Linked DNA regions of Lepisosteus oculatus. The protein of the gene in region 1 purifies or fractionates together with the protein of each later gene. This does not show direct contact. Links are inferred from orthologs where the notes say so. Each region holds a gene or a part of one and is shown on either strand. Other genes may lie near its edges.

Evidence for each region.
Region 2: the proteins of mafa (region 1) and usp5 purify together in Homo sapiens (affinity purification with western blotting; 3 studies listed by BioGRID, with this or other methods). This does not show direct contact. The link is inferred for Lepisosteus oculatus from reciprocal best matches to the Homo sapiens genes MAF and USP5.

The regions. Positions count from the first base shown.
Region 1 is NC_090715.1:17,781,071-17,797,025, reverse strand, and holds the start of mafa (transcription factor Maf), read left to right. Parts: upstream 1-8,034; 5' UTR 8,035-8,446; coding exon 8,447-9,408; intron 9,409-15,955.
Region 2 is NC_090718.1:2,636,997-2,652,824, reverse strand, and holds the start of usp5 (ubiquitin carboxyl-terminal hydrolase 5), read left to right. Parts: upstream 1-8,995; 5' UTR 8,996-9,351; coding exon 9,352-9,459; intron 9,460-11,171; coding exon 11,172-11,300; intron 11,301-12,129; coding exon 12,130-12,196; intron 12,197-12,769; coding exon 12,770-12,900; intron 12,901-13,989; coding exon 13,990-14,135; intron 14,136-14,908; coding exon 14,909-15,093; intron 15,094-15,686; coding exon 15,687-15,781; intron 15,782-15,828. Other genes in the region: p3h3 (prolyl 3-hydroxylase 3), read right to left, coding at 263-315, 946-1,035, 1,222-1,361, 2,094-2,225, 3,048-3,243, 4,587-4,739, 5,560-5,744, 6,947-7,256. UniProt on the Homo sapiens protein: Deubiquitinating enzyme that participates in a wide range of cellular processes by specifically cleaving isopeptide bonds between ubiquitin and substrate proteins or ubiquitin itself.

The DNA.
Region 1 (15,955 bases):
TGTATGTTTATGTTTACATTTATAAATAAAAATGACTTATTGGTGGTTATATTTATGCAAGCCCATCCAAAAGATGGTTTTCTGTGCTAACAAATACTAATTCTAAAAGCAGGGGATTTGTAAGGGGGTGGCTGATAAACTAAAGAACTTTCCTTTGTGGTCCTTCATTTCTTTTAACTCAGAAAAAGGTCATTTTATTTGTATCCGGCATTACACAATTCTGCTTATGTTACTGTGGTTGAAACTGAAAATACCCTATATTGTCAACAAATACTGAATAATATTTGAAACACCCGAAATACATTTTATTGTTTACACAAGAACTGAATGAAAAATATTTTTTAAAATTGATTGAATGTGGCTACATTGACCCAAAACTATCAATGTTTTCCATATGTGTATTGAAATAATTTTAAGATGCACAAATAAACTTCAGGTGTTGTATTTTGAATTTATACAAATCACGAATTAATCGCCACACCTATTTATTGCCTGGGAAGAGCACTTTCATCAATAGCCATAAAATGCAAAGGAACAAATAATAGGTTTATTCCATGCTGAAAATTCCATGTACTTCCTCACTCCCAAAGAAGGCTCCACAGCCAAAATGTTGTGTTTTCTTTCTCCTCTTTTCAGCATGGAATAAACCTATTACTTATTCCTTTGCAGCCTACGCATGCTGACGCAGCTACCCACCTGAACTACATAGCCATAAAATGCCCAGTATATATCACTTTTCTCCACTTTAGGTCTTACAAGCTACAGACGCATGCAGAGATTGTACCAATGAAGCAGGCACAGTGTTTTTAGTACTATTTTAATTCCAAGTCTGTCTGTGCAAGACCATTTCAAATAATTAAAAAAGCCACATGCAAATTTGACATAAAATACCTAATATACTTTATAGACAGCAAAAAAGTTGTCTACACTGGAATTAATACCCCTAGTACAGTACAGTATGTCAGTTTACTATAATTTATTTTAATACATTTTTTATAAAAGCTGCATTGCCCCCTAGTCTGAATATGTAGTTATAAGCAGTTTTACACCATACAAATAGAAACAATGTACTGTATAAAAACGTCCACTGATATTAAATATTTTTGTCTAGTTTTTACTATAGACAGTCTTCAGTAAGGGGTCTTTGAACAATCCTTGTCACAATAAGAGTAATAATTGCTCCTTCCTTTCCTGATTCTAAAGAATACTGAGAAGATATCTGCTCTCAAGTACATATTAAAGTTTCTTCTGCTACTTATTAATTGTGAACCTTTTTTTGTTTTCCTTTAGGACGTGATGTCATAATGCCTGTAGCATCAATAAAATATTGAAAAGTATCTCTTACCTCTCAACTTCATAAACAATGGTAGTTCAAGTAGGTGGCTGCATCAGCATGTGTAGGCTGTTGGAGGGCTTACCTGTGATTCTTGTTCTTCCAAAGTATTATTACTTTTCATAATTAGACTCCTATTATTTATTATAGTTCTATAATTCTACTACACCACTTAAGCCATTTTTACATCTGTAAACGTATGTTAATTGCCATATGAGTATAATAATTGTGATGAACAATTCTAACAATATCTTGTGATACCTGCACATTACAACAAATATACAAGTGCAATGCAATAGGCAATCAGTACTGATGCAATCCCATTCTTGAGCAGTCTTCAATTAGTCTTTGTACACTTTATTGTAATACATTAGTTCCAGTGAAATAACTTTATTCTTGGTGATAATGTCAAAAAGGCACATCAATTTTAAAACTTTTAATGTGGGTAAAAGTCTTTGCCTTGATAAAAATTAATATACTATTTCATACCAGCAACATTTAATTTATTTTGTCACTTAACAAAAACTGTTATAAAAGCACAAGGCTATTTTTCTTCTTTTGTACTTTTGGGAGGTCAAATGGAAATGTCATATCACAGCTAACCACACTCATCTCTAAATGAATTAACTGACATCCTTTCATACTAGGCAAACTAATATAAACCACAGAAGCTTATGTTTGTCTTTATCATGCTTTTTCTCACGTAAGTGCGCACATTGAAATCCCATTCTTCCGCTGCTGCGTTCTCTGACCTGATCACTCCCGACTAGGTTACCAAGAAATCACGACACAGTTAACAGAATCAAGATTTTAAACAGTTTTGAAAACTGAGCTGCTGCACGTCTTATATTTTAAGCATATGACAGCTGTGAGTGGGGCTCGATGTCGTGTAGGTCCTGTAGCCAGAAAACATCAGGCAGGAATTAAATACGTATAGATTAATAACTGGGTACCTGATGGGGAGCTGCCATGTACATTATTATGTAGAATTATGTAGAATCACAAGGCCCACAACATACAACCTGCTGGGTACAAGGATATATCATAATGGAAACAAGGGAAGACAATTGGAATTGAACAGATGCTGGGTTTCAACAATACAATGTAGAGTAGCTTGAAAAAAAGAATAAAAGATATAGAATATTTATCTCTGTACCCAACAATCTTGAGAAGATTGAAAAGCAACAACAGGGTTTATGTCTGTTATAGACGTGAGTACTCGGATGGGCGTGATGACATTAGTGGAGTACCACAGGGATCTATAGTAGGACCATTGTTCTTCTTCATTTATATCAATGATCTAGATAGAATATGGTTTGATAAGTATAAATCTAGTTTGCAGTTAACACTATTTTGGTATTACTAGTCGTATTATCAAAGACTGTAGATCCAAATGAAACTCAAAAAAAAGATTTAGATAAAATTAAAGACTAGACAAACACCTGGCATTTGCCTGGCATCCTTTCTTTTAGAATGTTTCAGAAACAGACCTGATGCTGCAGTGTTTTTTAAGATCTATATACAAATTTCATGCACATTAATCAACTTAAATGGCCAGTTTCAATCAAGGCTATATCATTCATTGCTGTCGCTAAGGTCCCCAATCTCAGAGCACAACAAGCCGAGTCCAGCTGGGGCTGACTGCACTCATCCAAGCCAGAGGCCTGCCACACAGCAGCCCTTTGCAGGGATTTGAATATCTATCACCTTGTAGTATTATGAGTACCAGATGTATCATTTTCCATTTCACTTCCTCCATAGGCACTAGGTCTTACAGTGTAGTGAAATGAGACTGGCCTTGTCATGGCTTGTTTCAGGAGTACACAGCTCCCAAAGACTACAACAAAGAGCTGACTTGATGAATATACCGTATATGATTAGTTTATGTACTAGCCAACAGGTGCAAGTGTCAGGATGTCTCTCAAGACCACAGTGCTAAGCTCTGTGAGGTAATCCTCTACACATGCTGATTTATATGAATATGAAATTGATACTATAGCAAATAATAATCTGTTAAGGATATTACACATTCTCAGTACTGCACAACATCCCAAGACCTAAACATATATTTTTTGAGAAATGAACTGATGACTTATCTAAAGTACCACTATCAGTTAAAATATTCAAGAAAATAAAATGTTTATATTTTAACCTTTGATCACTGAATCTAAGAATTTTATTTTTATAATTAGCTATATAACTTACGTTAAAAATACCATAAGCAATTGTATGAGAATATATTAATTAATGATGTCTTAGTGTAATACTCTAGTATAATTTTAGTTATATTATACAATAACTGCTCCAACACACTTTTGTACTCAGCAATTATTTTAAATATAATTTGCAATTTTCTTGTAAAGTGTGTAATATTCCATCCATATAATGACATGTATGATAGAGCTTTGAGATTATTTTAGTACAATGTTATACATTGTGACTTCCACTGTTAGTAAAGGTACACCTTTGTGCCACTTTTGAAAAACACAATTACAAATTAGAACCAAAAGCTTCTAGTGTGGAGGTTTATTTGAATTCTCTGGTCAAGGAAGAAAGGTTAACTTCAACCTAAAAAGAGAAAAATTTGATTGAAAACAGCTTTCATGAAGCAATGTAAGAAAAAGAGTATTTTAAACAGTTTATTCTTTTCTCTCTGATTTTACCTTTCACTTTTGTTAACTTTCAATACTTCACCTGTAAAATGTGATCCAGAAAGGGTGTCTTCTTCAGACTATTAAAACTATTCACTTAGAACTCCAGCAGCAGTTCAAAACTACTTTATGTTTACTTACAGTTTTCCTCACAACTGGGAGGAAGTTCCACCTCTTCTCTCATTAATTAAGATTATTTCCTCATTCCTTTCTCAATTCTCTCATGAAACTACTGCAGTGATTTAAAGGAATTTTTACAATGGCTATCTGAGAGCACTTTCCATATCATTATTAATTCATTAAGGTTGGACTTTCATTTTCTGTAGTTTTGTATTTAGTAATATACTGTCAAGAACAATGAATTGACCAATTAAACCAATGCCAAATAAAACAAATTTCTTCAACAGATAATTGTAAATTTGAAATCTTACAATATCCAATGTAATCTTACAATTGAATGTACTATTCTGTGTTGTTATATACCATATGTACATTTAAAGAGGTTTTTTTCAATTAGAGAACACTTGAGAATATTTTTTATACTTCAAGTCATTCCATATTATGATGAATGTATATTTTGTTCCATACAGCAAATCCTAAAATTGTATATTGTTATAAGTGATGCTTGTAATACTAAAGAAAAAATACAATTCACGTTACATCAGGATTTGACAAGTGATAAAACACAGCAAGTGGAAACTAAGAATACAGTAGTTCTCATATATATTTTGATATACTGTACAATATGCAAAGACAGTCTTGTATTTTAAACTATATCATTGTTTCTCCAAGAACACTGGAAATAGCATTTTAATTTTAAGCATACATATACAGTATGTTTACACTGTATGTTCTTTGATCTGTTTATAAGTTAAAAGTTAAGTTTAAAAATAAATGGGACATTTTGAAAAATGAAAGAAATGTAAATTCTACCCAGATTTAGACTGAATCTGGTTGTCTCTGGAGCTGTTGATAGTTTACAAAACCTCTATCTTTAACAGCCACTGGTAGCTGAAATTTGATTGATTTTACCTATCATTATACTACAATTACCATACTCTCTTAAAATATCCTGCATTCTTTGGATGAGATCACAGGTTTTAAAAGAGGTACTCTTAGTGTATGATTATAGGCTTTCTTGACATGCACAAAATGGTCATTTTTCATTGCAGCAGGAAAAATGAGTAGCAGTGCAACAACAAACTAAGAATGGAGCCATCAGTTATAACTAGTTAACACTAAGATTCCCTTAAATATTTCTGGTTGTGATTATTTTTAAATTGTTTATTAATCAGATAAATATATTAATATTTAAATGTAGTAATGGTTATTAAATATTATAGATGTGCACCCATGCTAAGAATGCAAATTGCACAGAAAAAAACATTAAAATTATGACAATCATTCTGATTCATAATAGATTTCTTTGTTTTCTTCAGCTTTAACAATAAAACTTAACATTACAAAGAAACACATTCCTTTTTAATGGCAATAATCACCAGTACAAAAACTGACAATTGTTTTTGTCCTCAAAGACATATTTTATCTTTTGGGTTCCTGAGCATTACTTCAGTTTTATCCTTCTTCAGATCCAGTCCTGCACTACTAGGCTGAAATCTAAGGACCAACTGGGCTGTGAACCAAGAATGTGTGTGTTGCCATTCCAATGTCAAAACACTTAATCAAACTAAGTCTATTCCTTGTTGAATTCAGAGAACAAAGCTACTTTACCAATAATAGGCTTTCCATTTTCACCTTTTGATTTGATTAAACCACCAAATGTCTTGTTTTAAAACAGCATATACTTCATAAGGAAAATACAGAGTACATTCACTATAAAATCTACAGTATACATACTGTAAACCTAGTATAGATCCTGAAGTGCATGCAAGGAATAGAAAGCAGAGATAAGTGCCCTCTGAACCCCGGATGAAGTGCAATGTACAAGAAAGTCGTTTAATATATGACTAAATGTCAGAAGTCAGGTTTCTTAGAATTACTTCTCAGATAAACAACTTTATAGCAGTGCACTTAATCTTGCTTAGACAGTCTCGTTTAATCACTGAATTAGTTAACTTTAATTCTATTGATATTGCCATAAAGAGTGTTAAAAATGAAGAAGGCATTTTAAAATGACTATGTTTCTTCTTGTTTTAATGAATCTAACGTAAACCGTGTTTTTTATATTCTCTCAATTTTAAATAAAAAGAATTGACAACAATTGTGATTTATATATGATAGGACTTACGATTGCTGCGACATCCTATTGTATTTCCATGGCTTTTAAGGTGAATTAATTTAAAAACCTTCTTCTGTTTTCAAATATCCAGAAGTTACAGGTACGTTTGTGGTAAATATATTGCCCTACGAGCAAATTGGTTGCCCACCTCTCATTTTCATTCTTACCAGATTCACAGGCCGAACACTGGAAAATATTTGTTTCCATATGAAGAAAGTTTCGTACTAGGACCCCCGTTAATATTACCATGATCAATTACCAGATATGTCCATTTTTAATGTTAAGTACATAAAATTACAAAGCAGTTCAGGTGGGTAGCTGCGTCAGCATGTGTAAGCTGCAAAGGAACAAGTAATAGGTTTATTCCATGCTGAAAAAAAGAAGAAAGAAAACACAACGTTTCGGCCGTGGAGCCTTTTTCAGGTGTGCCACACACCTGAAGAAAATTACAAAGTAGTTAGAATAGTTGATGTTAACTCACACATTCAGCTTCTATACTACATAGTTGCAAGGCAATAGTACTTTATCAAACTGTTATATTGATTAATTGTACTTCTTAGATTTATGGTATATTATTGGTATATTGTCATCCTATAATAAAAACAATTCCTTGTAATTCTTCTTGTGCATCTTTGTCGCTCTACAAACCAGTTTAATAAGTGTACAAAATATTTTTATACATTTCTTCTTAAAGGAATGCCTTGGTCTAAGTTATTATGCAATATGTGTTATATTAATGCTGTGTGTAACACATTTAATGAGTGAAAACATTTAATACTTACGATTGAAAATGAATGTAAAATATTTAACATAAAAACTAATACTGCTTAACCAAGACACGTTTCATTTCCTGCAACTCTTATTCCAAAAGGTGGCAGTGTTGAGTTTCCAAATGTAAAGCTCTGATTGTTTCAACTATTTCTCCTCTTGTGCACCTCTTACCTTTTGTCAAACTTGGCGGTGCATGGAATCATACGAATGCTGGGTGTTCAGCGAAAATTAATTTAAAGTTTTACCGCGAAATTAAAACATTAGAGTTATGTAAGTTTGTAGTGAAAAGCAAACTTATAAAGGCATTTGTCTGTAAAAATATGTTATTTGTTAGCTATATAATGCATTGTTAGTTATAAAACATACAGTAAAGCAGGGAAAAAAAATGACACGCAGACAAGACCTATCCCAGTTTCGATTCGGAAGCACTCAAAAACTACAGCAGTAATAAAGTAACTTTTGTTTTGTTAAAACAAAAGTCTCATGTTATGAACACGGGAGAGGTGCAATATGCCAAACTTTCACCGTTTTTTAAGGCAACCCCCCCCACACACACACACACAAACAAGTCAAACACAACAAACAAATATGCTCAAATGTTTAACGTTTAGGAAGAGACAGTCTGTCGGGCATTCTCTGAAACTCCGGGGAACATTGCTGAATTTCTGTCACCATGCTTCAGTATTCGATGCTTTCTAACTTATTGCTCCGTCTCTTGGCTTTTGGTATAATTACCGATTCCGCCATAAAATCAAATGCATTTGACGTATTTTAACTAATTTTAAAAGAGGTAATCCGCAAATTATAGCAGAGAAACGGCATTCAACAACAAATGACCATCTGACCTAAAACTGACACGAAAGAGTTAAAAGTTTGAGTCCCAGCTGACAGTCAGCTGATAGTCCCTGACAGTTGAGAAAAGTTTTGTTTCTACACTATTATGTTAATTAGCTTTCAGATTCAGAGAGCCGATTGGCTCCGAGTCTGAGTCAATTTCCCATTACACCTGACGTCAGGGCAGCTATAAAACTCAGCAATGCTTTTAAACTCATCTGCTGGGTGATCCTTTAAAAAATTCTCCAACAAGCCCGGGGAATATTTTTTCTACAAGACTACAGTTTACCTCTCACTTGCACCCTTCTACCTTCGCCACTTTACAATTTATTTTTGAAGAAGTCATGAACTGTTAAATGGTTGAAATAAGAGGCTGTTGTTACACTGCTATCACATGCAAAGAAAGGAAGAAAGAGAAACACGCACTGCTCTGATGCGTCTGTGCAATAGACTCTGCAAAGGAAAACTATATATTTTTTAGTCTTTGCTGCAAATTGAAAGCCCTTTTCTTGGTAAAAATAAATAAATAAATAAATCAAGCTGGCTCACACTCTTTCAAACCAGAACAGTTTGACAGCTGCTCTTCACCCCCTTTGGAGGACTGTCAACAGCAAAAGGATGGCATCAGAACTGGCAATGAGCAACTCCGACCTGCCCACCAGTCCCCTGGCCATGGAATATGTTAATGACTTCGATCTGATGAAGTTTGAAGTGAAAAAGGAGCCGGTGGAGCCCGATCGCAGCATCAGCCAGTGCAGCCGCCTGATCGCCGGGGGATCCCTGTCTTCCACCCCGATGAGCACGCCTTGCAGCTCGGTACCTCCTTCTCCCAGCTTCTCGGCGCCCAGCCCGGGCTCCGGGAGCGACCAGAAGGCACACTTGGAGGATTTCTACTGGATGACCGGCTACCAACAACAGTTAAACCCGGAGGCTTTGGGTTTCAGCCCCGAAGACGCCGTAGAGGCGCTGATCAACAGCAGTCATCAGCTTCAGAGCTTCGATGGCTATGCTAGAGGGCAGCAGTTTGCCGGCGCAGCCGGATCAGGAGGCACCATGGCCGGGGAAGAGATGGGATCGGCAGCCGCTGTGGTGTCCGCAGTTATCGCGGCAGCCGCAGCCCAGAACGGGGGTCCCCATCACCATCACCACCATCACCACGCCGGGGGACATCACCAAGCACCCGGGGTCGCCTCCAACGTTAACTCAGGAGGAAACCACCAGCACATGCATTTGGAAGACAGGTTTTCGGACGAGCAGCTGGTGACCATGTCAGTGAGAGAGCTCAATAGGCAGCTACGGGGGGTCAGCAAAGAAGAAGTGATCAGGCTTAAACAAAAGAGGAGGACCCTCAAAAACAGAGGCTATGCTCAATCCTGTCGCTACAAGAGGGTCCAGCAAAGGCACGTCCTGGAAGGCGAGAAGACCCAGCTCATGCAGCAAGTTGAACATCTCAAACAAGAGATCTCCAGGCTGGTCCGGGAGAGGGATGCCTACAAGGAAAAATACGAGAAGCTTATCAGCAATGGCTTCAGAGAAAACGGCTCCAGCAGTGACAACCCTTCCTCTCCAGAATTTTTCATGTGAGTCTCAGCATAAAAAACGAAAATCAAGCTTGTCAACCCCTTCATAAAAGTTCTCCATGTGAATTATTTTTTGTCTGGGGCTTGCTAGACCAAGAAACAAGTTTGCCAACTTTTTTATTTTCTTTTTTGTCATTTTTTAATTTGATTTTTTATGAGAATTGGGGTTTGCTCAAGCTTGTCAACTTACGTGAGTTTTTTGGGGGCTTGCAATAGAAAGATTGAACTTGTCGTCGAAATATGTCCTTCATTTTGGAGCTCGCTCTTTGAAACCTGCCATCAGCTTCGTGTTTATTATAATTATTATTGTTTTTCTTTTGTTTAGCTCATGTGATTTTTTGGCTTGCTGTGTTTTTTTCTAGATCTATCATCGTTGTATTTTTTAAAGCAGTTATAAACTTACAATGTTATATATATATACACTGTAGTACTGTATCTATATATAACATTGAAGTTCAACAGCTGAGATCTTTTTGACGTTGTTAAGCTTAGAATCTAAAAAAAAAACCATCACCTGCCAAAAACCAACTGCAGCTACCTTCAGTTTTCATGTGAGATTTGGCTTTTTTACCAAACATGAAATGCCAAACATGAAAGACTCTGAGCCTGCCATTTTTACCCCATTCTCATCTCATGCATTATTATGCTATTTTGTTTTTAGCAACAAAACTGTAACTGTTTTGAAACAAATATTAAAAAGAGACAATATATTAATAAACAACCCTGCATGCTGGACATGTACGGTATTTTTTTCTTCTTTTTTTGTGCTTGAAAATGAACTTTCCTGGATGACTTTAACGGCATGGCATTCATAACTTTCTTTTATTGCCTCATCACTTTTTTGAGTTTGCAACAAAAAAGTGCGAGGGACATCCTCTCCCACCCTTCCCATGAAATCGCATCTGCTAATCTAGACTGCTTGATTTTGAGTTGTACGACATCGTCAGACTCTCATTTTTTATACAATTAATGCACTGAAGCATTCCCGTTTGAAGTTGTCAGGTTGGATTCCATGTTATGAGGGGGAATAAGGACTTCGAAAATTCTAAAAGGAATCAATCCCTCTTTGGGACTAAAACTGTTTATTGCTTAAAGCAGTTTGTTTTATTTAATAATTACCCCCATCCTTATGCATTTGGTAACTCTGGAATGCTATGGGTTCCTAGTACGTAATTTAAGTATATAGTTTTATAATCTGTAAGCCCTAAAGTTAATAAGGTTGTGCTACAGGTTGTTCTTAAAAAGGAATGTTGTAGATAAATTAGGTTTACTTAGAAGTAGGTTTTATAAGGTCTGATGCACTAAAATGTCTTTTTCTGTTGTTGATGTAAGGGGGGAGGGGCGGGGGGTTCTAAATTTGTCAAATAAAATGGGATTGTTTTAATACGAAAACAGCTTTATTTGCAGCATGTGCTTGCAATTAAACCAAGTTGGATAAATGTAGCCCCTGTAATACCACTGACTGTATTTTTAAACCAAAGTATTAAATCAGGAGGGGACTCCTGTTTCACACAACGGAGATTATACATTGGACAATGTATTCTTCTCAAGGAATTGAAGTATTTTGGACTGAATTGCACTAGAATAGAACATACAAGCATGTGTAACAAAATGCAGAACTGTTTAGAACGCTAATAAGAATGCAAACAGACATGCAGTTATTTCTGGCAATACTGCAGAATTTTAAATGATGCAATTTTAACAGTTGTATTATTATGCAGAACTAGTTGTTCTTAAACAGAATTGATCATTTCCAAGGCAATAAAATTAATAATTATAATAATCAGTAATGTCAGGACATTTATAAACCGTCAGGGATTGATACCCTGCATGTGCAAAATAGGGGAAGAATCCATTCTACAATAAATTAAAATGTCAATTAAAAATCTTTTCTTTTTATATATTTTGCTGTGCAAAATTATTTTATTCTTCCGACATACTAACCATATGTGATGTTCATATATGTGCTTATTTTCATTTTTTGTTTCTGGATACAAATAATTGAAACGATATTTGCAATAAATAAAACATTGCAATTTGGATTTTATCCACTTTTTCAGTCTTCTCAGCATAAAATGTTGTTAACCCTTTATTAATTCCGATATTCTGTTTTATTGTAGTTTAGCATGTTATGAAACAATGAGTACAAATAACAACACACGTACTGTACCTTTATAGTTAACATTGTAATTAGGGAGCAATGCAAAAGTTTACATTTGATATGGATATTTGTATTTTTACATTACAAATGACAGTTTATTGCACCAATTAGCCACTCAATATCCAAACTTGATACTCGTAAGTTAAAAGATTAATTTAGATTTTTGTTTAATCTACTTTAAACAAATCATGTATTTGAAAGAAGAACGTCCGTTAGACTTATCAAGAAACCGAAAGTCTGCTATGACCAGAATAAAAGCATTTCAAGTTGTTCACTTTAGATGAATTAATTGTATTTTCCACTGACATATTTAAGCGTGTTCAGTAACTTAGAAGTGAAATAGTGTAATGCCACGTGAAGCCACATAAAGTGCTAACAGTAAATTGTTAGAAGAAAATGAAAAGGCCATCAAATAGCAGAATCCATCTGATAAACAGAACTTGTAATTTATGTATTAATTAAAAAACTATATAATGAAATGACAACAACAACAACAACAACAATAATTACACACACATTATTCTTCGAAGTGGGGGAAGGTACAATCACAGACACCTGGAAAACCCTAGTTTTTTTTTTAATTCGAGCCAGTCAAGTCTCGACCAAACGTAACTCAATTGCTGGAGGAAACAGACTGAACAGGTTTCTGTGGCTTCCTTAGGTTCTTCCAGTGGCAGGCGTGAGTTCATGAAACATAAATACATACAGTATCTCTGTACGTAAAGAAACAAAATAATCCCATGTTTCGTATGGCAGCTATTACTGTTTGTTTTTTGGCTAGTATTGCACAACGTTCAAAAGGAATCGTTCATGTCGACTTCATATGGTTAATTATTAATTTCAAAGCAAAGTTAAACATTTTGGTGTTTCAAAGTTTTTTTTCTGTAGACTCCACTCTTTGAACCTTAAAAAGTTAGTATACACGTCATTTATTAACTTGTGCATCAGAAGATTACGTCGACCTAACATATGTAGTCAGCCGTTTAGTTTAAAGGTGAAGATAAATCTTTACTTTGCCTTTCTTAAATACGACTGTGAAGTGCGCAAAGTCTTAAAATAAAGCTGTCATTGGAAATGGGAAAATATGTATAAAATGGTATGCATCGCCTTTATTTCGTAAACAGACATTTTCGATTTGAGTCTGCTTATTTGACGATCGTGTGCATAAAGTTTTAAAAATAATTTCCTGAGTAATTTAAATACAATTTAAAGGAATCGATGTGTTAGCTGCATTAAATAATATTGTTTTTGTTTGATCAAAGTGTTATCAAATACACAGTGTCTATTTGTGAATAGTGTATTTGTAATACACCAATGATATTTTGCTTCATTGGTGTTTTGCATATATTTTTAAAATATTATTAGGCCTATTAGTAATTTAGATGTTGTCTTTACAGACCCTATATGAAAGGTATGTGGGAACGTTTAAACAATATGAAACAATACCTAACACCACGAAGACAATTTCAGTGCAAGATTATAAACTATAAGAAAGTTAACATCTTAATAATATAATGTTTTTTTTTCCTCGAAAAATCTTTATGCTTTTATCTTATATACTACATACGTACTGTTACTTCCTGTCCAGTAACTTGAGTGAGATTGAATGAAGAATAAGTGTGCATGGAATTTGAGGGAAAGGTGTAATGGGCTTTGTTTTGCATGCATACATCGCTGTTCATACAGTATCCTGTGAATTTCACATTTGTATGACAGGTAAGTTTCTAGTCTTTAGAAAAGTGATCATCATAACCGTTCAAAAGACAACTAATCTAAGAAACTAACGAGAAGGCTAGTGTATTACCTAAATGTATAAAAAAATACTTGATTGCCTGATGACTTATTACTGATTACTGTATTCAGCAAAATGATCATTAACATGCTATTGTAACTTTAATCTATAGTAGAATAGTTTAGGCAGCTAAAATAAAGTTTATTTTAAAAAATGGTTCATATGATGAAGAGTATCTTTCCATTATATAAAAACAGATATTGACATTTCAAGAAGATGAAGATGATTTCTAAAAGATACTTTGCAAAGGAATGAAAATTGGTGCAGTTTTCTATAGAGATGCTCACAAAGTGATGATAAAGATGACCTTGATTGAGATTTTACTTGGTGAATAAGATCCACTTTAAAGTAAAAAAGGACAGATGTTGTATAAGAATAATTGGTATACTACAGTATATTCACAAGTACTGTAACTTCTAAATTATCCAAAAATATTGTTCACTTACAAGTTAAAATTGTACAAGCACTTCTGGAAAATAATGCTTCAAAGAAAATGATAACATTATTTTCTTTAACATGCTCAAATTATAGAACAAAGATCAATGTATTAACTCTGGTGATTTTGACAAAAAAGATTTTCTACCAAGCTATCTAAATGGATGTTTTCATAACCAAGTGTTTGCTTTAAGGGGACTGTGCAAATGACGATAATGCTGTACAGTAATAGCTTTTCTTATTAATTGAGATTGTTTTTCTATTTATGAAGATACTGTATTTACAGTTACCAATACTTAAATACAAATTGAGCTATTGGACCTACTATTTTTTTATTGTCTTCACATAAACCTTTAACATATTTAACAAGATGCAGTGGAGAATACCATGGCAAGTTGAATTTTACATCATTATGCAGTGTTCATTATGCATTCACTGTTATTTAGGTTGTACTGGCCTGAATTTGTCTAACTATACTACTGGATGCTCGTTTTACTTGTGCTTTCTTTAGCTATTGATACATAGAACTGTCCTAAATTCCTCTCCTGATCAGTCCGCTCTCATATTGTGTGTACAGTAGTTTGGATATTATACCAGAATGCTTCTTCACATTAATATAGAATGTATAAACACTAGTGGAAATAGCTGTAAAAGCTAAAGGCCAAGAGAAGTTTTATTGTAATCGGTATTCATGTACAGTATTAGTTTTAGTCAAGGTCAAGTGCATTTGTCTCTGGTGTGAGATGACCAATTCTTGCATTAAGTCCTACCTGCCTGGTCCAGGTATCGTTTTTTTGTCTTGCGTGCACTTATTGCTTGAAAGTGATTTACCTTCAGAATGTTATAATAGATTGCAGCGCAAATGAATTATAGTAAGAGTGGCCAGTGCTTTGGAGTTACTGTTAGGAAAGAAATAAGTTCAGTTGTTACATGAGCACCAGGGCAAGCAACATCAATAAAAGTGCAAATTCTAAGGAAAAAAAATTGATGTATTGACCTAGCTTGGACTGCATGGTTAAATTCAACTCTGATCTCAGAGTACATTCAGTATATTTTTTGCAGTGACTACTGTCGTAGCACTGGTTTAGTTACCAATTTACGCTGAGAGGGAAAATGCCTGAAATAATAGTCCACTTTCTGCAAAATTAAATGATTTTCATTATGATTAATAGCTGAAAAAGGACCTGTTTCTGGTACATAAAAATGATAAATCATTGGTGATATTCTGCAGCTGTGCAAAGAATAGTTTTTAGTATTCATATAACCAACAATTTATGGCATTCATTTCTTAGGTTCATGTAGGAGAAGTAGTTCAATATATTATCTAATTAATTAAAACTATCTTTGAAATAAAGTTGATAAATATTTTTTTTTCTACAGGAGAGACTGTTTTTTTTAATAACAATGTGATTGCTTCCCCATGCACAAAGATAACTAACGGCTACACTTAAATATTCTTACCTCTTTTGTTTGTGGTATTATTCAACCAAAGCCCTTATTTCCATCCATATATTTTTGTAAATATGTTCTTAATATTATGTTTTAATAATAATAATGTTCAATCAAGACCATAGTGTAAATCATAATAAAACTTGAAATTACTAGCAGTGCAGGGAATCTGGTTTCTTCTTGCGTATTGAAAGGATTATGTTGTTTGCATTGGATGGCAAGATTTTATATTTTACCTAAAACTATTCTGGTTCCTAGGTTATTAAGGATGCTGCTTCAGAAACAAACTTTCATTTGACCATCTACAATAATTGTATCACAAATCAACCTCTATGCCAAAGTGTCATATAAAGAGAGGGTCATTGGGAGCTCGTCTCGATTTAGCAAAATACAGTGGTTCTATGTTTTGTTATATATCAATAGAGTACAAAATGCTATAATGATAATTAAAAACAGAAGAAAAAAAATCAAGATGTTATATTCATATCATTAAATTAAATATTTTTAGCTTCCAAAATGATATTCAAATTCGCACTTGGACGCGTTATGCATTTTTTTAAGCTACTTTGAATTACTTATTGTATTTTAGCCCTAATTCTGGAGCAATATCTCATAGCCATATATGAAAAATGTTAATTCATTTATAATGTTTTAAAAGAAATTCTGTTGGATCAGTACTATTTGCTAAACAAAGCTTATATCCCACCATG
Region 2 (15,828 bases), on another chromosome or scaffold:
ACGGGTATTTGTCAGCGTGTCAGTAAGTCAGTACAGTGTTAGTATGTCAAGAACGTGCCAGTATTTCAGTGTCCATATGTCCCCCAAATGTTGATACAGTGCCAGTGTCTGCATCACCAACACGTGAGCAGTTCAATGCGAGCTCAGCGTTGACCAGCACACTGACAGTGTCAGAGCTGTGTTTCAGTCTGCTGCTCCAGTGTCATCACAGTGAGCCACTGTGTGAATGCAGTGCATGTGTCTGCATGTGTGATTCACTCACCTCCAGGACTCATGCAGAGACTCGGGGATGACGGATTCTGGAGTCCAGAGATCCTATAGAAAATGATGTTTTAGTATAAGATTAAAAACAGACTTCCGTGCCCATGAAGTCATCTCCATTCCCTTCATCTGGAACACACTGACTCATAATGAATGAGAGATAAAGAGTTTGAACATCTATCCTTCCATTTTCCAAACCCTTCTTCCAATGCACGATCTATTGAAGGGGGAGCTGGAGTCTATCCCAGCAAGCAATGGGATACACTCTGGACAGGATTCCAGTCTATCACAGGGCAGATGGACACACACTCACACACACACAAGACACGCGCCAGGACCACTTTACCCAGAACCTACCAGCATGTCTGGGGCCTGGAGGAGTAAATCCATGGGAACATGGGGAGAACATGCAAACTCCACACAGGCAGCACCCCACAAATTGAACCCAGTGCCCTAGCGGTGAGAGGCAGCAATGCTGGCCACTGCACCCGCGTGCCACCAAGAGTTTGGACATACAAAATCTGCATGTGTAGTATATAGCCAGAAATATTTACAGTATACTGTAACTGATATATAATCCCAAAGTAATTTTCTCAAGAGGAAAGACCTGAGCAATCCTGAACACGCTATTTCCACTGAAATAGCAACGTCCCTAATAAGACATTAACAGGGTCAGTGACCTACTGGATCGGTGAACTTGAAACCCAGATTCTCCATCGCAAAGTAGAGCAGTTTCTTCTCCAGCAGCGACCGATGGACATACCGAGAAATATCCTGAGAGCGAGAGGGAGAGAGAATCGGGGGGGTGAATACAGACAACAAGACTGGCCCACCTGAACAGGAACGGGGTCTAGGGAGAGAAAGGCAGCAGAAAGCCGAGCAGAGGAGCTGCGCAGAGTGAGCACAGGCAGCCCAAGACATGGCGAGAGGAGAGAGACGGACACGCGGGGGGTGGTTGACCTCTCGGGGCTGGGCGCTCTCCGGGGTGCTGCCCCCTGGTGTCCTCAGGTAGAGCTGCAGGTTGGAGAGGGTCTCCGGGTCCTCGGGGTAGAAGAGCAGGTAGGCGCGCGCAGACATCACCGCCCCCTGCAGGGCGCCGGCTGAACATCCGGACCCAGAGAGAAATTGTTGGGGGACAGGTCTTAGTATACACTCACACGCTGTACTCCTAATGGAATCCACATTATCCAGGTGGGGCTGCACATTGGTGGTGGCAGTGGGATTCCCCATGACCTGTAAAGCACTTTGAGTGGAGTTTCAGGAAGGTGCTATATAAGTGTATGTTATTATTATTAATAATAACAATAATAATAATAGTTTCCAGCTCTGCTGAGGACTTCTGCTTTCATCCCACCACTAATTCAGGAGAAGAGGCAGGGAACCAGCAGACCTGACATCAACTAACTGGAGAGTGTAAGATCTCTGCTTTGATCGAGCAATCATACTCTACAGAAAACTACTTCCATAAGTGATAGTCACTCTTTTTAGGGGTTATTTGCTTACAATGAGGATTATACATGGACATTGCACACTGTAGTTCTGTGGTTACTGTACAAAGCAGCTGTCATTGTTGTATCGGTTAAGCACACTTACACGCCTGTCATGTCTGATCGTTATTGCTGGCCATCTGCTCCTGAATCAGTTGCCTCTCCTCAACTGGAGGCAGGTCAGAGGTCACATACAGAGATCTGACGTCAGTAACACTGAGTTACTGATTGACAGCCGGAATACATGACTGGGCACTGCAGTACTTTAATACACAGGAATGGGATTAACACAGACTCTAAAACTGCAAGCATGTGCGTGTGCATAAACATGCCGTGACCTCTGACCTTTGAACTCCGCCAGGTGCAGGTGCTCCAAGAGCGATGGCAGGAAGTCCTCAATGGGTGAAATCCTTCCGGGTCGCGTGGCTACGAGAGACACACAGGACTGGCGGCAGGAGAGCAGCTGGAGTGACAGCCCTGAGAATGAGGAAAAAGCAGAGAGGGGTGACTCAAGTAGACTCACTATGTCACAGATATCACACTGCAGTCCTTTAAGTGCTGTAGCTGTACTGGGAGAGGATAGACAGAGTTAATTTGCTATCTACTCATATAATTCATCATAAATGTACTAAAATAACAATGTTAAAAATGTAAGTCATATCATATTAGTTATGCCAGCAGCAATATCAGCCTTCAACTCACCACTGGCAGCCCCACTGGAGCTCAGCAGGTGTGAGCCTGGTCAGTACCTGGATGGGAGACTCCTGGGAAAGCTAAAGCTGCTGCTGGAAGAGGTGTTAGTGGGGCCTGTAGGAGGTGCTCACCCTGCGGTCTGTGTGGGTCCTAATGCCCCAGTATAGCGACGGGGACACTATACTGTTAAAAGGCTTTGTCCTTTGGATGAGATGTAAAACCGAGATCCTGACTTTCTGTGGTCATTAAAAATCCCAGGGTGTTTCTTGAAAAGAGTAGGTGTGCTACCCCAGGGCCTGGCCAAATTTCCCCCCTGATCTTTACCAATCATGGTCTCCTCATAATCCCCATCTTTGAACTGGCTTCATCACCCTGTACTCCTCCATACTGATTGATGGTATGTGGTGAGAGTACTGGAGCATCATCCAGGTGATGCTACACATTGGTGGTGGTAGTGGGATTCCCCATTACCTGTAAAGTGCTTTGAGTGGAGTGTCCAGAAAAATGCGATATAAGTGTACACACTATAAACTGCATTTCCCATAAACACCCTTCTGATGCGTACAGTGCATTCTGGGGGCTGTAGTTTTTGCCATTCATTCTTACCAGCTGCTCTCTCGTAGAGCCCCTTGGTGCCGGTTAACTGGTTGTCCTCCTCACTGGGCTGCAGCGCCTCCCCCGCACAGTTGGCTCTGCACTCTTCTGTTGCAGCCAGCGTCTCGTTCACACACTCCCTCCATGCCTCTGCCGCCCGCGGCCAATCGGAGATGCTCTCAGCCAATACGCCGGAGTCATGCAGGGTCTGAGCACAGAAGGGGCAGAGGTATTGGGAGGTATTGGAAGCAGGGAGAGATATGGAGAAAGGCAGAGAGAAGTGGACAAGGTGGAGGAGATGGAGAGATACTGTACTTCTTCATTCCATGAGACACAAGAGTGTCTGGAGCAGGTGGACAGCATACTTAAAAAAAGGCACCTGTTTTCATGAAACAGTTGCTTCCACTCAGTCTAACACTTAGTTTCTCAAAGTGGACTCGGCAGTTCACAAGTGCAAAGAACCAGCTACAAACTCTGGGTAATACAGCACTGCAGTAACACTGTAGTATAGTACTGGAGAGTAGAATATTATGTTGTGCTAAACTGTTTTGTACTAAACGGTAGAAAACACTACACTACACTGTAGCAAATGCATTGTACTATAGCTCATGGTACTCTGCTTAAAGCTTGATTATATCTCAACCACAGGACCTGCTGCCACCCTTTCACCTGAAGTCAAGACCACTCGACCTTCTGTCCTGTCAGAGCTTGAATGCAGGAGGTGGCAGGCTCTGATTCTGGCATGGATGAGCACAGAGGCAGCAGTGAGGATTGCTGCTTCGCAGTGCCAGGGCTCAGGGTTTAGGTCCTGGGGTACTGTCTGGGTGGAGTTTGCATGTTCTCCCCGTGTTTGCGTGGGTTTCCCTCCTGGTGCTCTGGTGTCCTCCCACAGTCCGAAAGCATGCTGGCATGAAGCACCTGCCCGGTGACTGACAGCCCGGTGTGAGTGTGTGTGTGTTGGTGTCAGTGTGTGTGCCCTGTGATGGACTGGCATCCTGCCCAGGGTGTATCCTGCCTTGTGCCCATTGCTGGATAAAGCAGTTAGAAAATGGATGGATTCAAGGTTGCAGAGTTAAAATAACATGACCAATAGGACATGTTCCTCTGACGAGAATGAAGAAATGTGCCACGTATGTTAGTTTTACTATGTGAGTAGCGGACAAACCAAAGCAATCGGAAAAAGTAACTCATTTTTGTAAATTAAGGAACATTTCTTCTAACTCCTTTGCTTATTTTCTGTATAATTGGAGTAGCTTTCATGCACTTATTGTAAGTGTGTTACTCACACTTGTTATTGCCTGAACAGTAGAGCAGGGATTGTGCAGTAGGATATATTTCATATTATTTGCATTTGAAATGGCATTGGTGACAGTTCCTATTGAAGTTAGTGGCCAGGGTAAGCAGATATGTGATCCTTCCACACGCAGGCTTAAGGCTATTGAAGGCATTGGCACACCTGAACCGGGCCCAACAGTGTGGCACAGCTGTTCCCTGTGTTGTATTGACCTGCATCCCCATGCAGGGGGTGGGATTTCTGACTCTCTCACTCACCCAGTGCTTCTCTTTCTCCCTGTCGAAGAAGGCCTCTTCCCTCACTCCCTTCATCCTCCTGTACTTCTCCAGGTTGTTCCTCATCTCCAGGTGGCTCGGGTTTGACACGAAGAAGGTTTGGGCGGCTGACACCGCCTTCTCCAGCCTGCCCAGCTGCAAGAGAGGAGGAGGAGGTCAACACAAAACGCAAGGGCCCTACAGGCTGAGTGGAGGTAATAATGATTCCATACACTATAGCGCTTTTCTGGACACTCCACTCAAAGTGCTTTACAGGAAATAGATCCCACTGTCACCACCAGTGTGCAGCCCCACCTGGATGATGCACCAGTACTCTCCCCACACACCAGCTCTCAGTGGGGAGGAAAGCAAAGCGATGAAGCCAGTTCAGAGATGGGGATTATTAGGAAGCCATGACTGGTAAAGACCAGGGTGGAAATTTGGCCAGGACACCAGTTACACCCCTACTCTTTTTGAGAAACACCCTGGGATTTTTAATGACCCCAGAGAGTCAGGACCTCAGATTAATCTCTCAGCTGATGGACAGTGCAATTTTTTTACAGTACAGTGTCCCCGTCCCTATACTGAGGCATTAGGACCCACACAGACCACAGGACCAGCGCCCCCCACTGGTCCCACTAACACATCTCTTCCAGCACCAGCCTTAGTTTTTCCCAGGAGGTCTCCCATCCAGGTACTGGCCAGGCTCACACCTGGTGAGCTGCAGGGGGGGCTGCCAGTTGTGAGCTGCAGGGTGATACAGCTGCAGCACAACGAGAGATTCACACTGCGCTGAGAATGAGAAATCAATGCAGGCAAACAGATACACAACAGACAAACGTGAGACAGGTGCCCGGAGTTACTGTATAGAGACAAGACGTACAGTAAGATGATGAACCAATCAGGGAGATATACAGTTACAGACTCAGCCAGCAGTGTACACCCATAGATAAGATGGCAGACACAGAGCCAGTACCTTGTAGTAGGTCACCTGCAGGTAGTTATAAGGATTCCGGTTGGTGAACTCATACTGGATGTCCAGGGAGACAGGGGGGATGGCAGAAGGGGTAACGCGCTGTTCCAGGCAGAATTTCAGACACTCAGCCCGCCGCTGCACCAACCCAAACACAGCCAGGTCCCAGAGACTCCCATCCGCGCTGTCTATCGAGCATCAATAATCTTGAGTCAGTCCCACTGCTTACTCCCGGGCTGAACCGATTACAGCCGTATCACCCTCTGACCCGTCTGAGAATTAAGACAGACACTCCACCACCCCCCAGACATCGTCATTGACAGTGTGGGTCATAGTCAATAATGGGTAGTCAGACACTCTTCCAGCAGCTAATCAGGTCTGATTACCTTCCAGCTCCCAGCCATCGTCATTGACAGTGTGGATTATAGTCAATAATGGGTAGTCAGACACTCCTCCAGCTGGTGATCGGGTGTGATTACTGCCAGAGATCATCAGTGATACTGTGGATCACAGTCAATAATGGATAGTGAGACATTCTTCCAGCAGATGATCAGGTCTGATTACTGCCAGAGATCATCATTGATACTGTGGATCACAGTCAATAATAGATAGTCAAGATACTCTTCCAGCGGCTGATCAGGTCTGATTACCTGCCAGCTCCCAGACATCATCATTGACAGTGTGGGTCATAATCAATAACGAATAGTCAGACACTCTTCTGGCTGCTTTATCCATTCCTGACATTATTGACTCGCCTCACGGTTGACAGTCTGTCAATAATCCATCATTAACGCTCATCCCAGTGATAACCTCCAGTGCAGGATGATCTCGGGGGAAAAGCAATCTGTGCTGATCGGTTTCAATTGGGTACGATATTACAGTTGCCCAGGGGTCCCAGACTCGGGTCCTGAAGGCTGCTGGGTCTTCTATGCTTCTCCAGCACAGGCAGAGATCATGAGCTAGCTACTGCCTGACCGGAGGATTTTAAAGCGTGACTCAAGTCACAGGAGCTGTGAACGATAGCCCAGACACCGGCAGGGGGTGTGACAGGAGTAATAAGTAAATTTGGGGGCTCTGGAGGAGAATAAAAAAGCAGGCGTTTCTTCAGCTGCCCTGAGATCTCTCTCCTGTACCGTCTCTCTCAAACATCGATGGCCGGTTTTCAGTCAAGTGCCTTCTTCGGTGTCATCAAAAACCAATGACAAAAACTCGCACCCGAGCATTCGGGAATCGTTACCGATCACCCGTCAACGAAGCACCAGCGCATCATAAATAATCTGTCCGGTCCAGTCAGTCCACGCCCTTCAGTGACCGAAGTTAAAGATCAGCAGTGGGCTATGCCAAGCCAGTGTTTAAAGAGCACATGCATCCCCACCGGCGCGGTAGTTACCCAGGCGAGCGGAGTCCCCGGCCGCCGCCGCCTCGCACTGGTCGTGACAGCCGCGTCGGACCTGGAGCAGCTCGGCCCGGGTGGCGATGGAGCGCTCCAGAAACTCGGCCGCGCGGTCCCACTCCTGCGTGAAATACGCCCGCACGCCCGAGTAGTACAGGCGGTCGTAGGGCAGCAGCTGGCCCCCGACGGGCTCCAGCAGGGCCCCGGCGGCCCGGGCAGAGAGGGAGAGGAGGAGGAGGAGGAGAGAGAGGAGAGGGGAGCCCGGTGCCACGTCGCTAGCTGCGGTGTTTCCTCCGCGAAACGCCATTCGGATTCCGAGACTGGTCCTCCAGGAGATGGGAGGGCAGAGAGATGTGGAGGGAGAGATGTAGTAAAATTAAAGTGTGTTTTTTCCCTCCTCTCTCTCTTTCTCCTGGGACGGGGGGCGACAGTTGTGGGGAAGGGCTCAGAGAGGAGGAGACGGGGCTGGTTTTCTGCGGTGTGGGAGAATTATTGAAGGGGGAGTGTCGAGTTACAGCGGAGAGGGGGGAAGGACCGTGTCGTACCCTGAAGACAGTATCCTCCTGCGCGGTGGGGAAGAATGCTGTGCGAGTTCAGACCGACCGCATTCCTCAAGCCCTTGAAAGCGCTCTGCTGACCCTCTTCTTCTGCCCTTCGGCCCAACCACGTCGCAGCGAGACCCCTGCAGTTTGCGCCGTCGACAGAACTCACGTTTAAACGCCGGCAAAACGAATTTCATTCATCGTTGATTTCATTTGGAAAAGTGTTCAATCTGTTTTTGTGTCGAGGCTACGTGCCACTTTCCCTAGTCTTTCTACCCCCCCAATAATTATACAGTCATTATAACACAAATGAGGCACAAAGGGTACTCTTTTCTCAGCTCTCCTGTATTGCATACGCAGCCGTCTGTCATTACGTGGGAGGCAGCGCCAGTAATTCCCCAAGTGTGCAAGAATAAACGGGAAATTGTATACACAACGATGCACCACCCCATAGAGGAGTATTCGTTAAGGTACCGACACAAACTCGCTCTGTCTCGCTGCGTCTCTGGGGAAAGTCGCACCATCTTCTCGGGAGAAACGGAGAACGACAGACAACGACAACATACGCCTTGTGCTGCCTAATCTGCGCACGTATTTGAGTGTGGGTCTTCATCCTGTGTTAATAAAGGCACGTTTTCGCCCGGTCGCTGACGTGATACATGAACTCTTAAATTTAAGGAGCCGTTACTAGTTGCAATACCTTATGCTTAGTACGTGGCGGTCGATGGATAACTTGTTGCCTTTTTAAGCATTACGTTTACTGCAACTCGGTAAGGCAAGTCGTGAACAGATAATATTAATCAGTTATCTCAGGGGGTGTCGCAGTGTACGGGAGCAGAACCGCTTAGTAAACCGAAATAAACGCCATAAATGTGGCTCATAAGCGCTGGACGGTTCTGATTCTGAACATTCGTGTTGGATTAATGTACACAATTGTATTTAATTTTTTTTTACTACGTGTTTTTTCCTACTACTATTTTACGACACAACACGTAAAAGGCAGTAATTAGTATGTCTACATTTGAATCTGTGAGTCCATAGAAAGTCTACACTGCTTCTCTGACTCGGAACTTTTTCCGAAGCGAACTTAATGACCGAGGCGACCCGCTCCGCCCGCCGCTAGGTGGCAGTGGCTCTTCTCCGGGGCAGCCGGAGTGACTTTTCCGCTTTCTCATTGTCGGCGCAGCAGCATTCTCGGGATCAGCCGTTACCGTATTTTAAGATATATAAGGAACGATAAGATTATTGTTGAGTTCAACATAGGACAACTTCCAAATGTCACTAGAATTAATACAGTAACACTATGTGAGTTCCTGTGTACAGAGTCTGTTTTACTTTTACTTATTTATGTATATAAATAATTGTGAGAGCCAACTAGAAATTGTTAGGTTTTTAATACCGTTTATTATTCACTTCTGTCCAGAAAGCTTTTAATGCATATTTCACAATCACTTTTTTCCAATTAAATGCTATTAAAATTAACTGCCACCCACTATTTTCCTTCGGCATAAAGCTATTAAGAGATATTCATCGAGATTAGAGCAATTAAACAAAATTTAATATAAAACGTTTAACATATTTGTTATTTGTACATTCCCATGAGTTAAGCTTTATCAGTGGATTGGATGCATAATGAAATGCGTTTTATGCCTGAGGATGGAATTATGAGTTAAGACAAAACGGGACTTCCTTCGTACTAGTTGTATTACGGTTAGGCGCGCGTCCGCGGCGGACTCGGAGTGTGTCTGGCCTCAGGAGCGCGCCCGGCCTTACAGTTTCCAGTGACACAGAGAGACGGACCGAGCCGGAGAGAGAAAGAGACCAACCAAAAAAAAAAAGAGGACAGAAAAGAGAAGGACGATGTCGGACCTAGGCGAAGTGCTGATGTCGGTATTGTCCACGATCCGTGTCCCACGGCCCGGGGACAGCGTTCACAAGGAAGAGTGCGCTTTCTCTTTCGCCAGTCCGGTGAGTCCAGTCCATCCATAGTCTTTCCCTCTTGAACCCCGTCTCTGTCTCGTCTGGCCACGTCTTTGTTTCTGTCTTCCCCGCTCCTGCTTTTCCGGGCTATTTCTGTGTGTTTGTCTCTCTTGTCTGTCCCCCCCCGCCGGCCCGCCTTGTCCAAAAATCTCCCCCTCCTTTCCTATCGTCTGAATATCTGTTCACCCGTCTTTCCCAGAACCGCATATCCACCCATTTTCGCGCTGTGTTCTTTCGTTCCAGTGTGTTTCTTTACTTCTTTCTGCCTTCATTTTCTCTCTCTGGGTCTATTTTTGCCCATTTCTGCCTCGTCTGCTCCTACTATCCCTCCACTCCGTCTCTGTTAGGCGGTGTAACTCCCTCGGGTTGACTTGGGAGTAGTGTTGTTTCCTTTCTGTAATTCATATTTGTGTGAGGCGCTTGCTAACATCTGTATCGCCCCTTCCTGACCGAAAAGTTGTGTAGTAGCGTCTGTCAGCTGTTCTGTGTAGACCATTACATGTCTGTGCATGTTCGTGTGCCAGTTTGTGTGTGTGTGTGCAGGTCTGTGTGTGTGTGCCAGTTCGTCTGTGTATCTGCAGGTCTGTGTGTGCCAATTTGTGTCTGCAGGTCTGTATATGTGTGTGTGCCAGTTGGCCAGTCCATTACAACACACCCCTGTAGTCTGAGTCACTGTTTCTGCATGCTCTCCGTCTCCCAATGCAGTATTCATGCACTGTAGTTTCCAGGCTCAGCCAAACAGTGTCCCTGCCAGGTACCATCATCTGACAGATAGGGATTCCCTCTGCCAAACTGTCAGAACGCCAGGAATCGGCCTGTTCCCTCCTTCCTCTTCTGCACAAGCGTGTCTTGAAGGTGTTCCTTGGAGAAATGCACCACAAAAGCTGACCTGTCCATTGCGGGAGAGGTTTGGGTTTAATTGCAAGTCACTCTAGCAGATTTCCAGGCCTTTCAGTGTTGAGCGATCTCCCGCTCAGTAGAAAAGGAAAGCCCTTCAGCTGAAGTCTCCCTTTTATAACGGCTTCATCTAATTCAGAGTCGAGGGGGAGTCTGTCCCAGCAAGCAAGGGGCACAAGGCAGGGTCCACCCTGGACAGGACGCCAGTCCATCACAGGGAACACACACTTACGCCAGGGCCAAGTTATCCCAGAATCCAATTAACTCACCAGCATGTCTTTGGACTGAGGGAAATCAGATCCCCTTGAGGAAGCCCATGTGAACCCAGAGAGAACGCGCAAACTCCCCACATACAGTACCCCGGGAATTGAACCTAGGGCCCCAGCACCGCAAGATAGCGACGCTAATCTCTGTGCTACTGTTAGACAATGTCTTTGGACCGAGAGAGAATACCCACATTAATATGCATCTGCTTCTGGCTCTGTTCCCGAGCTGAGCCAAACTTACTATGACTAAAACATGCTTCAAATGCTCGGGTGCTGACCGGCCACTGCTCCAGCTCCACAGAGCCCTGCAGGCGAGTCAGCACCAATTGGAGGGGGCGGAGCATTTTCTCCTTGACATCACCGCAAGTGATGACATCACCGCAGAGGGGTCCCTTTCGAGTGTTTCTGGACACAGCTCGATGAGTTCCTGGAATCCATCAGCCCCTAACTACCACGCGCTCTAGATGAGCCGAGAGGCCTCCTCTGGCTTGCGGTCGGTCTCACCACCCTCGCTCTCGCTATCTCTCTCCCTCCCAGGACAGCGAGGGGGGCCTGTACGTGTGCATGAACACCTTCCTGGGCTTCGGTGCTCAGTTTGTGGAGAGACACTATCGCCGGACCGGCCAGAGAGCCTTCCTCCACATCAAGAGGACGCGCCGGCCACAGGTACGCCCCCATCTGTCATCTGTCATAATAATAATAATCCTTACACTTCTATAGCTCTTTACTGGACACTCCACTCAAAGCGCTTTACAGGTAATGGGGATCCCCTCCACCACCACCAGTGTGCAGCCCCACCTGGATGATGCGACGGCAGCCATAGTGCGCCAGAACGCTCCCCACACACCAGCTCTCAGTGGGGAGGAGAGCAGAGTGATGAAGCCAGTTCAGAGATGGGGATTATTAGGAGGCCATGATTGGTAAAGGCCAGGGGGAAATTTGGCCAGGACACCGGGGTAACACCCCTACTCTTTCCAAGAAACACCCAGGGATTTTTAATGACCACAGAGAGTCAGGACCTCGGTTTAACGTCTCATCCGAAGGAGGGCGACTTTTTTATTTCCAGCTGGGGGCTACACGTGTCCTGTGAAGCGCTTGGAATGGCGTGTCCAGAAAAGCGTTGTATAATTGTAAGGAATTGTTTTATGTTATTAAGTTTGTGGATGTGCACCGCCATGCCGGGCCCCCAGCCTCTGGTACAAGTACTAGGGCTGCCCGACCTCTTGGTGATGGGGTGACTAGCACCCCTCTGGCCCCAGTGCTCGGTGTATCTCTCTATACAGACATCTCCTGCTGTCAGGGCCTGGCAAGCACACATGGAGTTTCTTCTCCTAGAAAGGATCGTGCTGCTGCTTCAGGGATTTTATTTTTTTACCGGGCTTGCATGTAATCGTCCGTTATTTTCGTTTTTTGTCCTTGCCCCTCATGGGAATACATTCCGTATTGCCCCAGGGTAAGTGTTTTCTGACCTTCTGTCAATGTTGTTGGCTCGCAGAAGGAAGAGGAGAACGGATCGGGGGCGGGCGACCCTCCGAAGAAGAAGCCCACCCGACTGGCGATTGGTGAGCTCGTGGCGGGGGCCTGACGAGGCTCCGTGTTCGTCTCCTGTGGGCAATTGCTGGGCAAAAGAGGCAGCAGAGTCTGCGGATCAGCCCCTGCCCGTCAGGAAATCCACTAGCCAGTTGCAGATAGAGTTGCATTAGCCCAGATTCCTGAGTTTTAGGACCAGCTTGGTGGGAACAATTGTGTTGAAAGCCAAGATGTAATCTATAAATATAAATAGTCTGTATAAATCTGTGTTTCTTAGGTGTGTTTGTAGTGTCTATATTAGAATCTGTTTTGATCTATTGTGTTAGATGTCTCTCTAGGGTCTATATTAGAGTCTCTATTGATCTGTGTGTGTGAGGTGTGTCTCTAGTGTCTATATTAGGGTCTGTATTAATCTCTCTGTGTATTAGTGCCTATAATTGGGTCTGTATTTCTGTGTTAAGTGTGTCTATATTAGGATCTGTATTAATCTCTGTGTTAATTGTGTTTCTAAGGTCTGTATGAGGGTGTGTTTTAATGTCTCTGTGATAGCTGACTTCCGAAGAGGTATGTTAAATTCTGAATTAATTCATCTTCCTTTTGCTCAGGAATCGAAGGAGGCTTTGACGTGTCTGAGCAGGATCAGTACGACCAGGAAGTGAAAGTTGTTATCTTTCCTGAGAGACTGGAAGTGACCTCAGAAGACCTGGCCAACATGCCTGATGTTGTCCGCGAGAGGGTGAGGATTTTGGAAGATGCTCACACATGGCTTTTTGAAGTTTACCTGCTTAACTCTTTTTCCTTGCCATGGAGAGTGTACAATGTGTATTTTGGACATTTAGGTAATTCCAATGATTTATTCAGTCTTATTTGAAGGAAATAGTAATCATCATAATAAATTGGTAACGCTTATATAGCGCTTTTCTGGACACTCCACTCAAAGTAATGGGGAATCCCACCTCCACCACCAGTGTGCAGCCCCACCTGAATGATGCTCCAGTCCTCTCCCCACACACCAGTTCTCACTGGGGAGGAGAGCAGAGTGATGAAGCCAGTTCATAGATGGGGATTATTGGGAGGCCATGATTGGTAAAGGCCAATGGGAAATTTGGTCAGGACGCCATTGTAACACCCCTGCTGTTTTTGAGAAACACCCTAGAATTTTTAATGACCACAGAGAGTCAGGACCTCAAATTTACATCTCATTTGAAGGATGGGGCCTTTTTACAGAATAGTGTCCCCATCACTATGCTGGGGTATTAGGACCCACACAGACTGAGCGCCTCCTGCTGGCCCCACTAACACCTCTTCCATCAGCAGCCTTAGCTTTCCCAAGAGTCTCCCATCCAGATACTGACCAGGCTCACACCTGCTGAGCTCCAGTGGGGCTGCCAGCTGTGAGCTGCAGGGTGATATGGTTTCATTTATTCATCTGGTTTTTAAGCAGTCAATTAAGGCTTTCCAAAATGAGTTATTACTCTGTTTTGACTCTTGATCCTTGAAAGCATTTAAAGAAGCTTAATACTTCTGAAATATTCTAAACATGTATCTTGTTCTTAACTTGATGTTTGGGTCCTCTTCTAAAATATAACTCCTGGTTCTGTTACTAAGTCTGAACTTGCCCCATGCTTCGTCATTCATTGTTTAATAAAGCTGTGGAAAAGCGGCATTCTGGTACATGTAGTTTTTTTTAATAGCAACGATGGGGTTTGTGGGAGTTGTAGTCTGCTGTGAGGTCAGTGTAACTTGAGTCTCTGTCACTGGTTGGTAATGTGTGGTAGCATCCTGCAATCCAGGTATCTATTAACTCTCTGCTTTTTTCTCTCAGGTGTCCCTCTCCATGGCAGGGGTTCTCTCAGCAGACTCTGCGTCACACAATCTCCAGGTGCAGCAGTGGGATGGGGAGGTCAGGCAGGTGTCCAAACACGCGGCCGACCTCAAGCAGCTTGACAACGGGGTGAAAATCCCCCCCTGGTCAGTCTTTGTACTTGACTGTGTGTCTCCTGTCCCTGCACGCTTGTCTCCTATTGCTGGACTGTGTGTCTCCTGTCCCTGCACGCTTGTCTCCTCTTGCTGGACTGTGTGTCTCCTGGCCCTGCACGCTTGTCTCCTATCTGAAATGCTTTGTAGCTGCTAGAGAAGGGAGGGCCTCTCTCTGTGTGCAGGAGGTTTCTCTACAGCACCTGCATTGAGATTAAGTGTCCTAATTCACTGCAGAGTTTCAGTCAATATTATGTTGTTTAGTGACCGGTATGCTAGTCTTCTCTCAGTCAGTGAATTTTGTGTCTGTTACCTACAATGCTGTGCCCCGGGTCAGTGGCCAGTGCGCTTATTACCCACAATGCCATTCTCTGGGTGAGTGGCCAGTGTGTCTCTTACCCACAATGCCATTCTCTGGGTGAGTGGCCAGTGTGTCTCTTACCCACAATGCCATTCTCTGGGTGAGTGGCCAGTGTGTCTCTTACCCACAATGCCATTCTCTGGGTGAGTGGCCAGTGTGTCTCTTACCCACAATGCCATTCTCTGGGTGATTGGCCAGTGTGTCTCTTACCCACAATGCCATTCTCTGGGTGATTGGCCTGTGTGTCTCTTACCCACAATGCCATTCTCTGGGTGATTGGCCAGTGTGTCTCTTACCCACAATGCCATTCTCTGGGTGATTGGCCTGTGTGTCTCTTACCCACAATGCCATTCTCTGGGTGAGTGGCCTGTGTGTCTCTTACCCACAATGCTGTTCTCTGGGTCAGTGGCTGGCGCTGTGAGAACTGTGACTTGCGGGAGAACCTGTGGTTGAACCTGACGGACGGGAAGGTGTTCTGTGGGCGGCGGTACTTCGACGGCTCCGGGGGCAATAACCACGCCCTGCTGCACTACCAGCAGACTAACTACCCGCTGGCCGTCAAGCTGGGCACCATCACCCCGGACGGGGCAGGTGAGCTGGCTTCCCTCCTGTGTCCTTCGGCCAACATCTCATTTCTCATGTTCAAGTGCCTCAAGCCTCATGGCCATGAATGATGACACCCAGGGCTTTTTCACCACCAGCCTCTCCTGTCTCACGCTTTCCCAGTTTGTATTCCTAGTTTGTTTTTGCCGCCTGCATACAGGATTCTGGCCTTGGCACCATTAAAACGTCCCCTGCCCGATGTTCGCCCCCAGTCTTTGGATTTTATTTAAGATTGTCAGTTTAAATTTATTTCATCTATGAATGCGCAGGTGCTGTTATAGTCATTGTCAGTTTGGGTGTGTTTATTTTAGAAGTAGCGAATTGGTGCCTTTGAGAGGAAGTTTAGTTTAATAAGTGCAAATAACGATGTTGCCAAATATTGATGGAAACCAAGAAAAAATGCCCCAGGAGCAGAATCACAAATTAAAAGCAGTAATTTAAGGGCTTTTTGAACAGCCTCTTCTCCTATCTTGCCTGTCTTCTGTCAATAACCAGTAGCAAAGCCCAGGTCCTTTCACTCTGAACACCCTGCTCTCTCTTTCTAAGTAGTCATTATCATCATTATTGGATCTCGTTAATAGATGTGTATTCGTATGAAGAGGATGAGATGGTTCTAGACCCCAAGCTTCCCGAACACCTGGCCCACTGGGGGATAGACATGATGACCATGGAGAAGGTGTGTCCACACTGCCTGTACTCGACATCAGTCTTGTCCCTGTCCTG